3 linked regions of the Saccharomyces cerevisiae S288C genome follow. The gene in region 2 interacts genetically with the main gene of each other region. Each region holds a gene or a part of one and is shown on either strand. Other genes may lie near its edges.

Region 1 (6,134 bases), on a different chromosome or scaffold from region 2:
GATGCAAAGTTCTGTGATAAGCATGAAGACTAAACGCAGTTAGGATGTACAAAAGTCAACCACTTGTAATATATAGAAATTAATTGCATATATAAGAAGTATAATAATATTATCGCATTTCGAAAGGAAGAATAAAACTATGGATCTTGTAGTCAAACTAATGGCTTAGATTCATTGGGCCAGTCTTCATTTTGTAATTCCGGAACAATAGTCAAGACTTTCCCGGTCAATATCACATTCTTTGCATTTTCAACGACCAGTTCTTCCATTTTCTTTCTTGTTTCTACACTATGTGTGCCCATATGAGGCAGTCCTAAGACTTGGGACATCGATAATAACTCTTTGGATATTTTTGGCTCATATTCGAAAACGTCCAAACCAGCACTTCTAATCTTTCCAGAACGCAAAGCATCAGTCATGGCTTGTTCGTCTATCACGGCACCACGCGCTGTGTTAACAATAACTACACCATCTTTCATTTTTTCAATAGTCTCTGCATTGATTAGATGGTGAGTATTGTGGTTCAGTGGGACGTTTACAGATACTATATCAGAACGCTTCAAAAACTCCTCGAATCCTACATATTCACAACCATGCTCTTCTTCGGAAGGAAGCTGGTGTCTGTTATGATATATGAAATTCTCGAACCCAAACGGCTTCAATCTCTCTAAAATACAACGACCAATCCTACCTAGACCCAGTATACCAACTGTTTTCCCTTCAGGGTCGTATCCAAAGGGAGAACCACATGCGGGTCCTGCCTCCGGCCAGTTTCCCTCGATCAACCTTCTGTTACCAATACCGAAGTTTCTTAGGGCACCCAATAGCAAAAATACATGCGTATCAGCGGTAGCATTGCTAACTAAATCAGGAACATTGGCAACCTGGATGTGCCTTTTCTTGAATGGCTCAACATCAATTTGGTCATAACCAGCACCAGTATGACATACAGCCACTACGGAGGAGGGCAAAGCAAGAGCAAGCTCTTCATCAAATCTACCGGTGTTTTTCACACTCCTTGCTGTTCTAGTAATGACTTGTACTTGGGAGAGCTTATTTTGTGGGTCTTTTACCTCCCGCAAAAACTGTTCTCTAGTGGTGGATTCAGGGATGGTAATTACATCCGCAATCTTTTCCAATTCCCCCCAGGCTTGGTCACCAAAGGCATCCTTTCCTAATTTCAAAACAATTGGTTTCTTACTCATATTCTCTTCTCCTCTTCTTGCTCGTTTATGTATTGTTAATACTTCGGTATTGTAGAGCAATAATCATGTAGAAGGATTTCCCTAACGTAACAACAAGGCCAATAGAATTTACTTTTTATATGCTCGAGATTAGTGAAAAATGGGATAAGATTGCCTTGTTATCCCCGCCCCCTGCCAAGACTTTTGCAGATTTTAAGTCCGCTCTCGGTCCTACGTAATAAATGCCTGGAGAAGCTCTAGAGCTAATTGCGTCGTCCTTCAGGAATTCTGAAGACCACAGCAACGCAATCAGATGGCGGAACCACATTATGAAGCCAAGTGAGGTGTATACAGAGTTATACGTACTTTTCATCCATCCCCGCTCGGTTTCACCGTTCATAACGCTGGTTTTCACTGCCACTTCTCATATCAAGTCAGCGAAATAACCAGTAGTTGTCCTGTATATAGGCATCCCTACCGTTTGCTTTAGGAAGCTGTTCTGTGTTACTATCACAACTGGGTAGTGCCCTGTATGAATTGCTTCCCTGTGGAAATGGCCCTTCCATTATGCTACTTTGACGCGTTTACTGCCGCATTACGCGTTTACGATGAAAAATTAAAATGAGTATTAAGGATTTTTCAAATGAGATATGGTTCGTAAGTCGCCTCACATATGATAATACCATCTAGCTTGTGGGGTTTAGTGTATCTTTAATATAGGAGGGCGCACACTATGTCTGCTGATTTGCAACAAGGCACTACAAATGCGGCTGATTTCTCTCTGACGGTACTTAGAGCAAGAATTGCTTTATTGGCAACTGCCATCGGTGGGCCGGATTATACTTCCCAGATAGACCCACCCCCTTATAAGCTTGGCGATGACTGTTTGGCGTGCTTAAAAGATCTGAAAAGATGGTTTAAACTAGTGGATGACCAGCAGAAAAGATGGGATGTGGCAATGGCAGTAGCTGAATATCGCATCTTGACGGATGATCTGTTACCTATTCTGATAGATTGGGAAAACAAATGTTCTCTTGCAGCAAAGCTTGCAAAGAACAACCCAGACCATGAAGAGTTTAGAAACAAAGCTTATTACGATAAAATTGCGCTAAATTGTCTACAACTATTGGTCCTTATGACTTGGCCTTTAATTGTAACTGAACAGTCTTCATCAAATCAAATTACTCTCTATGGTGAGCTAAAGAAGCATCAATTGGTATACAAGAAAACGATTCTGTCTATGGAAAGTGGTAAAGTGTTAAGAGCTGCCATTAGATTGGCTCTGGATGTTATCAAAATCGACCGATTATCAAGAACTCCTAGGGACAATATGGTTCTCAAATTGGTTTTGAATTTTTTCAGAAATGTCATTGCTATAGAACCCGGTGAATTTACTATCAATACTAAGAAAAGCATGCCTAAGAAAGGTATCACATCTATCGATACTTTGCCACCAAACGTCTCTATGGATGACATCTCTTTAAATACGGTTATTTCCTCATTCCATAAAAACAAGGTATTCGGTTTCCTCTTAACGCTGACCAGCTCCTTATCAAAAGAGTTTGACCAGGACTTTATCAATATCCCACTGTTGGAGATTATGTTCTACTTCACTAAAGATGTTAACCAAGAACTGCTATTCCCTCGACAGTTCGAAACCGGGACACATTCAAAGGTGGTAAATAAAAATGAGAGCTCCTCTGCTAATAACATTGTTACAAGTGCAGGTTTTGAACTATCGAAGTTATTACAAAAGGAACACCAAATGAGAAAAAACGTTATCAAGCATACATCTGCAAGACACTCCAGATTTGGTGGTCTTTTATCTATACAAACACCAGATAAAACTAGGTTAACTGTTTCTGGTAGCCAAGCTCTCGTAGATGAAAAAATAGCGCTCCAAAAACTAGATGACAGCAAAAAATGGAATAAAAGAATAATTAAAAAGCATCAATCTGTCGCAGCTGAGGGCTTACCGAATAGTCTCTTGAATTCACAAACCGGTAAAGCTATTTTTTTCACCGAATCAAATGGTAAACATTTCAAAGAATTCATCAACAACTTTATAGATTCCGGCTTTAACATCTTGTTGCATAGTGTGACGAACTACTTCACAACTGAGCAGGATAGGATGGTAACTTTGGAGCAAGTCGAATATTTACTTTTCTTTGCATGGTTTGTTAAATACCAGTTGTTGAGGTCCAAAATCGACAATTCCGCAGATATAAAGCAAGTTTCAGAAGCCTTGAAAGAGGTGACTTTCATTCTAGTGTCTTCTCTTTTAAGAAGCGCATATGACCTGAAAAATTGGACAGTGACACATGCTGGTATGATTGCATTTAATGAACTGTTGAACCTCGTTTCCCGTACAAAGGCCGCTCAAGAAGAGGATTCGACCGATATAGAATTCATTGTAAGTAGGCTTTTCAGTGACGAGAGAATACAATTACTGTCAAATCTGCCGAAGATTGGTTCCAAATACTCCCTCCAATTCATGAAAAGTTGCATTGAACTAACACACTCGGTATTGAAAGTATTAGAGCAATACTCTGACGATAAAACATTAGTTATTGAAGGCAAATCAAGACGGCAAAAAAAGTTTAATATTTCAGAAGGTGATATTACTAAATTGATAGAAGAAGAAAATGTAGATAGAGATGAAGCGCTTGATATTCTAACCTCTTCTTTAAGAAGTATAGAAGTCAATTTTCAAAAGGTGCAAGCCAACTATATGACAGAACCGGTAATAGAAACGTACATTAATTTCCTTGAAAGATTTCGTGAGCTTGAGGACGATTCCATTAAAAAAGTATTTTCCTTTTTCCATAGAGTATTTGTTCAGGCAAAAGAACAGGCATTGTTATTTAGATTTGATTTGATAATATTATTAAGAGAAATGCTTTCACCTGACGGATTAGATAGAATGTCTCGTTCAAGGAAATATGTGAGTCAATTTTCAGACTACTTCCTCGCCAGGTTGAAGAAAAGGTTAAAGAAATCACCTGCTTGGTTTGTTGGATTACTTTTCCCGCCATTACACAATAGTGAAGTAGGATTTTACCAAAGATATGGTGAATATAATGTACTTAATAATGAATCAATGTATGCCGCTCCTGCATCACAGTTCAAACCAATTCCCGATGAAGAAGCCTTACCACCTTCGATTTTGTTGGATATGAAATATGGTGTTTTAGTTTCCACATTACTTGATGATGGAAAAACTGAACTATTGGACCAACTGCTCAAGCATATAACCCACACACTAGATATTTTTAAGTCGTGGCTAACCGTAAATGTTAATGCTGGGAAAGAAACAGTTAATCCACCCAATGAATATTTCACATTGACAGGTGTACTCAACAACGACCCTATTTTTAAAGATAAGGACTACAGGGCTTTATTGTTGCTGATAGGATACTCCATTCCACGTAAAATCAATGAACCTTGTTTTTTACCGGGGACTGTTGAAGTTTCTGACCTGACTGTTTCTTGTGAACTAGTGAAAAAATACTTATCAACACCATTTGAAACTCCAAACGGACTGCCTTCTTCTTCCTATCTTCTACGAGTTCGTTCAGAAAAGGATAGTTTTTCTCACAATGAACAAGATGGATGGGAAGGAGACGATGATTATGATTACAACGATCCCTACATTGTTCCAGATGATCAAATTTTATCGAAAAGCGACGCAGCATACTTCAAGGATTTAGATAACAATGCATCAGATAAACTTAAAGGTACCAAATTCAGTAAAGGGATTGCGAGATCCAAAAAAAAAGATAAGAGGAAGCGTAGGAAAGGAGAAGCCAAGACTAATTTGCCAATGTTTGGCGACCAGGATGATGAACGACCTCAGACCGTTAGAGAACGCCATGGCGTATTCAGTAAAGAGTTTATTAGTGATTCAGAAGATGACGAGGATTTGATGAACCCTATATTTTTTGAAAACGAAACATATATGAGATGGTTACTAGATAAAAACAATGGTCAGTTGACCGAGGATAGATATATCCAGTTTGCCAAATTTGCCGCGGAAAGGATGAATAATGGGGGTGTTGTGACAGGAGATTATACGAGCTTGTTTGGTGGATCCATACCAAGTATTGAAAGCATAAGAGCTACAGAAAGTAGTTCCTTTGCGCCAGATAAAAGCCTCATTTCTTTAGCAAGCCACGTGGCATCTGAAATGTCTATTTTCGATGTAAATAATAACAATAATAATCAACTCTCTGATGACGATGTCAACTCGGAATCAAGAAATAGTTTGGGCTCATCACAGCCATCAAATTCGCAAAATATGTTCCAATCTGAGGTGTATAGCAGAAAAGAATCTACAAAGCGTTCTTTGGAAGCGAGTGCAGCCGATGAAAGCGATGAAGATGAAGAGGCCATCCGCCTTTTTGGCAAAAAGTCTAGAGTTGTTTTGAGCCAAGGTGATAGTGATGATTGAGAATGAATATGTAGTAATTAATCCCTTTAATACGTGTAATTTTAGAACCACTTCTTTACTCTGTTTTTAAGTTCAAAGTATTGACATAATATTAAAACAATACATGCGATTCATTCTTTATCATTACCTATATTTTTCTAAGTTGTTGAACATCTTAAGGAACTCAAATGTCCATTAGGACACATAAAATTAAATATTATATAATTTATTGCTGTTCCTGGGCATCATCGAAATTGTCATCATTGCTTGAAGACGCATGCAATCCGCTACTAGGACTATTTTCCCCTATTTGTTCTTGGGTTTTGTCGCCTATCGTCAAGTTTGTCTTTAAAGTTTTTTCATTATTATCCTTCTTAGAGTTCTCGTCTCCAGAAGATGCCCTCTTCGAGGATATATTTTGTTTTACATTAGACTCAGCGTTTTCAAATTCAGTCTGATCAATTGCGCTTTCTTCTCTAAATTGCTCTTCTAAATCATCCAAATCTTGGAGTAACTTCTTC
Region 2 (4,659 bases):
AAATACTATGATCCCAAAAATCCTAACGACCTCTCTGACGAATTGAAATATGGTAAAGAGGCGCAAGATTTAAGAAGCAGATTAGCCGCTGAACTGAGAGCCCATGTTGCTGAAATTAGAAATGAAGTTCGCAAATTACCACGCGAAGACCCTAGGTTCAAATCCCCCTCATGGTGGAAGCGGTTCAACACCACGGAAGGTAAATCGGACCCAGATGTTAAAGTCATTGGCGAAAATTGGGCAATAAGGAGGATGCAAAAGTTTCTGCCTCCAGAGGGTAAACCAAAGGGTAAGGATGATTGAAATTTAAGCAATTAAATTCGTGTAAATACTAGCATGTATGAGGTCATTTTTACATAACAAATATTCATTACTTACTTTGCTTTTTATCTGTGCGCATTAAAATGAGTTTCATATATAATATAGTTACATGTGATGAATGTATGGACAGTCTCTGTCATTTGTCAAAGGAGTGAAAAAGACCAGAAAAGGCCTTGACCTCATTTTCTACTAACCAATCTGGTAGAATTCACTTTAGACGCAAATCTTAACGAATTGAGAGTCTCATTAATATGAGAGGAGCTTGGTGAAATGTTTACAAACATTAATGTTTTCGAATCCCCAGTGAGTGAATATTGCAGTAGGTATGTCAGTTTTGAGTTCCTGAACGGTATATGTCTTTTGGTACTATCAGGCTGACCTAAAGCATGAATAACGTCACCTAAGCAACTTAAAGATTTATTTATATTTTGTGTTTCTCTTAATCTATCCCCTACAACTTGAGAGACATTTATTCTTTCGGAACCGGCCAAATCAACAAGATTTAGTGTGCCATACGAGTGTGCTCCAGTTTTTGCATTTGATCCAGACAAATGAATTATGAAAATACTGTGTGAACGGGAGGAATGCTCATTTGATGCTGTGCTAGCGGTGGATCTTAATTTATTTGCTTTTTTCAGGATTATTTCCACCATTTCTTCCGACTCAAGCTTGCAACTCGTAACATTCGTTATCGTGGTAGTCTTAGTTTCCTGATCATGACGTATTTCGTGCTTTAAGCCAATGCTTGTGTCTTCTTTATTATTATTATCACTTCTCAATAAGTCTACGATGTTCTCGTTGTAGATCTCAATGAATTCGCAGTTAACTTTATAATCCCATCCTTTTGTCTTTAATTTATTGATCCAGTTAAATATATGAGATATTGTGGACGGAATGATACCATCACCTGGATTTAACATCGTGAAAGTTTTCCCAGATCCTGTTTGTCCGTATGCGAAGATACAAACATTATATCCATCTAATGAACTTTGCACTAACTGACCAACTTCTTTAAAAACATCCACATTTGTATCCTGTTGATCAAATATTTTATCAAATTTGAATTCATGCACTTGCGCTGTGTTTTGTATTTTCGTCACTTCCATAGATTGAACACCACTATTGTCATCAAATTCATTAACATTAATAAGGCTAGTATCAGAATTTTCCAAATTTTTTAGAGCTGGACGAATCCTACAATAAACTCGTATATTTCCTCTTAACTCTTGTAACTCATTATGCAATGTGCGTCTAACCGTTTCCTCTTTAATCAGAATTTCATTCAACTCCTTCATACCCAGTTCAGTGTCTTTTATATATTCCTCAAGTTCTTTGATCTTTTCCAAAGTTTCTAAATTAGTTTTCTGTTTTAATGCCACCTCATCTCTCAGCCTTGTAGTTTCCTCTTCCTTTTCTTTAACTTTTACTTTGATAGCTTCATACGCGTTACGCTTTTCTGTTAAGAGCTTCTTTTTTTCTGCCAACTCAGGTTTTAATGTATTTTCGATTTCCTTTTTTATGCTTTCGATTTCTTGCATATGTTTATTATTCAGCTCTATATCCTTTTTCCACTGCGATTGGTACTCTGTAAGCCATTCTTCTTTTTCAAGCATATGCTTTTGTTCAACATCGTTCAACATTTCCTGTAAAGTGGAAGGGTTCATGGTGATTTTATTTCTTACCTCTTCTATTTTATCTAAAAGCGACGCTCTTTCATTTTCAAACTGTTTAATCTTCATAAATTTCAATTTCTCAATTTTTGTTTTGTATTCATTTTCCATTTGTTTCAGCTCTTTTTTATTAGATGCCGCTAGCTGCTTTAAATGTATTTCATGTCCTTCATTCATGAACTGCTTCTTTGACAAAAATTCTTCTTTAATCGAGATAAGTTCATTGTTTTTCAAATTCAGTTGCTGTTCAATTTTTATCTTTTCTTCACGAAGGGTTTCAAATTTGAGATTAACGGCATTGATTTTCTCTTTCGTTTCTGTTAGTTCATCTTTGAGTAAATCTAGTGTTGCCTTTTTCTCAAATAAGATTGCTTGTGTTCTATTGAGTTCATTAACATTTTCTTTATAAAAGGAAGTTACACCGGAGTTGCTTTTCTGGTTTCCATAAATCAAATTTGCTGTACCTTTATAATTCTTTAAAAGCTCGCGATTAGGTGACATGGATATGCGACTCTGACTAGCTAATGAGTGTCTATGAATATCCGTACGTTGCGGCTTCAGAAGAGTGTGCTTAGGCGGTGGAGTTGTTGTATTTCTTCTTTTGTGGCCATTCATAGCTAAAATATCATTCTTCGGCGATGGTGTCGAGAGATGCTGCGTAGATCTGCCTTTTGTGGGAGTACGTGGAAGTGATTCCATAGTTTAATAGTTGCCAGAATTTCTCTAAGTCCTTTATTTCAAAATCTACCTTTTTTAAACAAAGACTCCGGATAGTTGTTCTGGTATATTCAAATAGAATAATAAGAAACACAAAGAGCGGAAAAATTGATAGCTTTAATGCTTATATAATATTCGATAATTTTTTTAGCTGTAATACTCATCATCATATTTTGATTCGAGGCGCATCAAATTGTAAACAGTGTTTGTTTTGATTTTGTTTGAGATTCATTTTGGTGTATCTCCATTACCCTCTTATTGGAAAATTTTGAAAGAAAAAAATCTAGGATTCGATGCCCATAAGATATAAGGAAAGGTAATAAACAGATGCTATGAATAAAGCGATAGAGAAGCCGAAGGAAAATCAGTACATAATTGATCATGGGCTCCAAGCACAGAGTAGACACTAAGGATAAGAAAAGAACCAGAAAGAATGCAGAATTTGGGCGTGAAAAAAGGAATAGTGGCAACCAAGAGTTAAGTAATGAGCCGGAAAAAGATACAATAATGGAAGGTGATGAAGCCGAAGAAGACGAGCAGAATAGCTCTAGCGATGAATCATCTAAAATTATAGATAACGAACAAAGTGATGCTGAAGAAGATGATGATGAAGAAGAAGAGGACGACGACTTCCCAAGAAAGAAAAAATCGAAAAACAGCAAACATGATGATGGTTCTACTGGATTTTCTGCTGCAGTAAATGCTATTTTATCATCACATCTGAAAGCATACGACAGGAAGGACCCCATCATGGCTAGAAACAAAAAGGTGCTGAAGCAAAGTGAGTCAGAAAAGCTAGAATACAAGGCCAAAAAAGCATTGTTGGCAGAAAAAAAAAAGTTATTAGGTAAAGCCAGAAAGACGGATATTATTCCAATTGCTTCCGGAGAAGACAGGTCAGAAAATATTAGAAAAGTCCTTGAGAAGGAGACAGCGCTCAGAAAGATAGCTCAAAAAGGTGCCGTGAAATTATTTAACGCCATTTTAGCAACTCAAGTCAAGACAGAAAAGGAAGTATCCGAAAATTTAAGCGAAATTAAGAATAAAGAAGAAAAGAAAGAATTGATCACTGAAGTTTCCAAAGAAAAATTTTTGGATTTAGTTAAAGCTGCCGCAGGAAGCGACAATGAATAATCAACATGTTCATGTCAAAAGAAGAAAAAAAATAAAGAAATAAAAACTGTATATTATTTAGTCTATGTCAAGCGAGAAAGGGGCCCTATATCTTCCCTCCTCCTTGCAATTGAATTTTGTTTGCATTCTATATTATCATATAGTTTCATATCAATTGCAAAAACTTTTGCAGCCAATGTTACAAAATTGTTTTCAATCAAAGAAATACAGGTGTGGTGTCCTTCACCATCGATATATTAATATTAATATATCATGAATAAATATAAAAATTCAAGGTAATGTACTTGTGCACTTCTTTTAGAATATAGCAATTTCCCTTAGCTCTTTTTCAAATTGTAATTCTCTACAATACATAAAAAGAAATTGATCTTTGGTTCAACTTTATATATCGCAATAAGCAATTCTCAACATTATGAAAGTTTATCTAAATTAAACAATCTTCAACAATAGAATGGTCTCTTGGCCCAGTTGGTTAAGGCACCGTGCTAATAACGCGGGGATCAGCGGTTCGATCCCGCTAGAGACCATTTATTTTTGACCCAGGTTTTTTTCCTAGGCAAAATTGATAACAGGGACTTACTATTTTCTATTTTTTTTTTTTTTTACATCTCAAACAAGGGAAATCGATGACTCTGTTGATATAAATGTATATATACACACTTTTAAAACTTCGTTGTTCATCTTCGCTTTCACCATGCTACCCCAGGCAAGTAGACGTTACCTTGGGATGACGCTTCGCTATCGCCGTCTTCATTATCAAAAACGTTTGTGAAAGCCTCAAATTCTAACGTAGGAAGTGTCTTCAACTTTCTTGAAG
Region 3 (3,934 bases), on a different chromosome or scaffold from region 2:
ATTTTACAACAGGTATTGATGGTGACAAGGGGAAAATTGTAGATATGGTTAGTTACGGTATTTGGGAACCTGAAGTCATCAAGCAGCAAAGTGTCAAAACCGCTATTGAAAGTGCATGTTTACTATTAAGGGTTGATGATATTGTTAGTGGTGTAAGAAAACAAGAATAATAGCCTCGAGGTTAAACTTCATTACTGCCGTTTAATATTTGGTGTTTCTTCACATTTTTTTGTTTTTTTATACTATTGTAATGTATTTATATAGAATTAAAGTCCTCACTATAATTTTGTCATCCCTACAGTATGTCATAAGCGTTAATCGGACAAACGTTCATTTTAAAATTGGCCTTTTTATATTTATATTACTCCTCATAGGATTTAATATAGAAGTATCATTCGTTAAATAATCATTATATCATCTGTGCTTTAAATAAAAAAGTCGGCCGTCGATGTGTTTACGATTGGCCAGTATACTTACTCATTCATGGGATTAGTTTTATTTCAACGCTGTGGTGGGTACGATATGAAAGACGAACTCGACTTGTCATCATCTGAAATGATCTCAGAATTTTTGCTTTGAGAAAAAGAATTTGATTCTCTCATTTCTAAAATTGGGGTTAACTGCCGCGGCTTGACAGCTGAGATGATATCAGACGTCTCAGTGCTTCGTCCCTTTGGCGTCATAGGGCAGTTTATGTACTCTTCGCCAGAAAACATTCTTCCCTGGTTTGAGGGGGTCAACGACTTGGAGACTAAGGCTTTTCTACTTATTTTTGGTCTTTTCGATTGTGCTTCAGCTTCTTTTTGATTTGCGCTTTCTTCTTGCCCTAAATTTGCTTCTCTTGGATGTTTCCTATTTGTCCTAACCCTTTTATAAACGTTTCTAGAAATTGCCAAGACTTCTTCTAGCGAAAATTCTAGTCTACCACCTTTAGATTCCTCATCTTCACAATAAATCAGTTTAAAATTACAGTCAATTTTTTCTGGTTTCTGGTCCTTTGTATTAATCATTTGATAAACAGGGTCACTTCTACCTATAGAATCTCTAAAGATCGGTAGTTTTTCATCATATGGTCTCTTTTTTTGCGATAACATCTCATGTTGTTTAAGCTCACCCAAATTGGTATTTGCTTCTAGCAATGATATTCGAAGGTTGTTTTCTTTGTTCCTTTCTGCCTTTAAGTCAAAATTTTCCCAGCCATCTCTATAAACACCTCTATTCGGAGTTTCGAATAGTTCTACATCAGACTCTTCTCCATCTACAAATACGTTGTTTTTTGTTAAATTGACGTCACTTGATGTGCCATTTTGATTTGCAAGCTCTAGTCTATTGACAAATTCAGATCTGGTTTTCCCAAGTACTGTAGACTCTAATGAGTCCATCGATATTTCATTTCCTAGCTGAATATTGTTCTCCCCCAGTTCTCTCAGGAGATGGTTTAACCGGTCTTCTAAAACCTTATTAGGCCTAGCCTTATTTTTGATTCCTAGCTGTAGAATTTTCACGGCATATTGAAATTTTTCTTTCTGAATTAATAGATTCGTAAATTCTTCATAAAATGACGCTAACTCGGAACCAATTCCATTTCTTAACATATACATGAAAATGTCTCTGCTTTCCATGAATGAATTTCTGGTAAAAAGTTCTATGTACCAAAACCATATTTTAAGAAACCTAACATCATTGCGATATCTCTCCAAATCCTTTAAGTGAGATAAACATCGCTCCAAAAGGGTGAGCATTCCAGATTGTTTGGAATTACCGCCTTGTGGATAGGCGTTGTTCAGCCACTTTATGTATTCAAGATACAAAGTAATTGGGTCGCTTAATGCAGGGAGCTCATCTATCAGTCTTTGTTCGAAGCTTGATTTAACTTGGTTTATTTCCACCAGTGGTTGATGTATCGCTTTCGAGAGTGCCGCTGCTGATCTGCCTTCCTTCAGGGGAAGAATGTTTTCTTTTTGAGTTTCGATTTCTTCAAAGTTAATAACATTTTGTGATGGTGACGATGGCATGTAAGAGATACGTTTCTTTGCGTACGCTTTCATTCTATCAAGTTAACGTCTTTTATTGTATTTTCGCATGATTTTGTTTACTATTTTTGAACCAGTGTGCGCCTGGTGAAGGTGTGCATTTCAGGCAAGAGGGTAGTTCTCATATATAAAAAAATGGCGCTAAAGAAATTATTATATCTAATATGATTATTACTTAATTATACAGTAAAAAAAACACGCTGTGTATTCATTTAGCAACTAGGTTGCAGAAAAAGGAAAATAAAATAGAGAGAATTAGAAACACAGAAACCATGCCGGGCCCGATCTTATCCTCATAATCTACTGCTCTCTTTAGTCTAATGTTTACCACTCTCTTGGCATAAACCATAACAGTACGTATCAACACAGCCAAGGAAGTAATAAAGAACCCAATGGAGCCAATCATGGCTGTTGGTGAACCATATGTTAATAAAGTAGTGGAGACACCGCCCAACAATATCGAGATGGACAACCAAGACAGGTAGGTTCTTTCAGTGGCAAAGTAAACTTTTGGTTCCACACGAACTGGCACACATATCGTCTTTCCCGGTGGGGCACGAATTTGAGTATCAAAAGTAGTACCTTTTGGGATTTTAGATATTTGATCACCGTTAAAATAGTGGTCAAAAAATGCCACGATTTCATAGTATTTCTTGGAGATAGGATTTTCGGCATTCCTGATCTTTCTTTGATAATAAGCAGCATTAGCACTCTCAACAACATGATTAGTGTTGGAGGTGGGGGCCGAAGTAGCCCCGTAACCAACAGATTCTTCTATATCAAGAGAATTACCGGGTGCGTTTGTCATGGCAGCAACCAAAGCAGCGTCATCCTCATCATCCTCATCGAAGTCGTTATCTTCGTTATCGGATCTACCGGGTCTTGTTATTTCAATATTTGTTGGTAGTGGAGGTTTCCTGATATCAACATCCATTTGAGGTAACCAAAATGGGATTGAATCCACTTTATCATTTAGTAAGGTAGCCACACCATGAATAAACTTGGAGAATTTTGGGACTGGCTCAACTAAGTGAGACCCGACTAATTCACGTACCCACTCTGGAGGTTCTTGACCTAGTTGAGTTTGCAATTTAACTTCCAGGACTGCATATGGGAAACGGCAAATATCCTTGTCATCTAGCTGCTTGAATGGCCAATCGACACCAATATCAGTTCTCCTCCAATTCTTATGAGTTCTATCCACACCATCAAAGTTGTCTTCTCTCACCATAGTTAACTCTGTATCAAGGGAGATACGAACTCTTGCATCACCAGGTAATTGAAAAGCAGTTCTATTGTAGAATGATCTCACTACAGGTCTCAACTTTTTCTTTAACATGACGTATTGAATTTCGGATGCTAACGCCTCCAAGTTTTCAATTTCGTTCATTGGCTTCTTGCCTTCTTTACGCATCTTGGCAAATACTTGATCAACAGTATATTTACCCTTTAAGAAGTCATTAACATGACGTTCCTTTAGCGCAAATCTTGCCTTGACAGATTTCTCACCAGTCCAATCCTCTCTATGGGTCTTTCTTTCTACAAAGATCGTGTCTGTAGACATACCCCCATACCATCTCAATCTGTGGGCTTCTGCACCTTCATCTTTTCTTAATCTGCCATAATAAAGGTCTAGATTTTCATTATCAAAATAGATCGAAGTAATAGCGGAATCTTCTCTTTCGAATTCCTTATTAGTGTTGAAGACTAACACTGGTAAATGCTTCAAGATGATCAGCTTCAATTCTGTAATGTTATCAGGGTGAACCCAATACTTTGTTGTCTGTCTAACGAAATTTTGTTGCTTCCCACCAGCAGATGAGTCTCCCTTGATTGGGCGACCTGAAGTTCTGGCAATATCATATAGTTGGGAAATTTTAACGACTAGTTCGTCATAGTTT

The links. A genetic interaction does not mean that the proteins touch.
Region 1: mutations in KAR3 (region 2) and TOF1 together harm fitness more than expected from each alone (negative genetic interaction), as found in Saccharomyces cerevisiae (6 studies listed by BioGRID, with this or other methods).
Region 3: mutations in KAR3 (region 2) and MAD3 are lethal when combined (synthetic lethality), as found in Saccharomyces cerevisiae (6 studies listed by BioGRID, with this or other methods).

Annotation. Positions count from the first base shown.
Region 1 is NC_001146.8:120,966-127,099, forward strand, and holds TOF1 (Tof1p), read left to right. Parts: upstream 1-1,917; coding exon 1,918-5,634; downstream 5,635-6,134. Other genes in the region: BOR1 (Bor1p), read left to right, coding at 1-33; GOR1 (glyoxylate reductase), read right to left, coding at 153-1,205; guanine nucleotide exchange factor SEC2, read right to left, coding at 5,840-6,134. UniProt on the Saccharomyces cerevisiae protein: Forms a fork protection complex (FPC) with CSM3 and which is required for chromosome segregation during meiosis and DNA damage repair. FPC coordinates leading and lagging strand synthesis and moves with the replication fork.
Region 2 is NC_001148.4:815,234-819,892, forward strand, and holds KAR3 (Kar3p), read right to left. Parts: upstream 2,691-4,659; coding exon 501-2,690; downstream 1-500. Other genes in the region: TAZ1 (lysophosphatidylcholine acyltransferase), read left to right, coding at 1-303; rRNA-processing protein RRP15, read left to right, coding at 3,090-3,842; ribosome biosynthesis protein NOC4, read right to left, coding at 4,532-4,659. UniProt on the Saccharomyces cerevisiae protein: Minus end-directed microtubule (MT) motor involved in spindle midzone assembly, poleward transport of newly captured kinetochores along the lateral side of MTs, karyogamy (nuclear fusion) during mating, and with an essential function in meiosis I.
Region 3 is NC_001142.9:408,993-412,926, forward strand, and holds MAD3 (Mad3p), read right to left. Parts: upstream 2,049-3,934; coding exon 501-2,048; downstream 1-500. Other genes in the region: chaperonin-containing T-complex subunit CCT3, read left to right, coding at 1-170; VTC4 (Vtc4p), read right to left, coding at 2,242-3,934.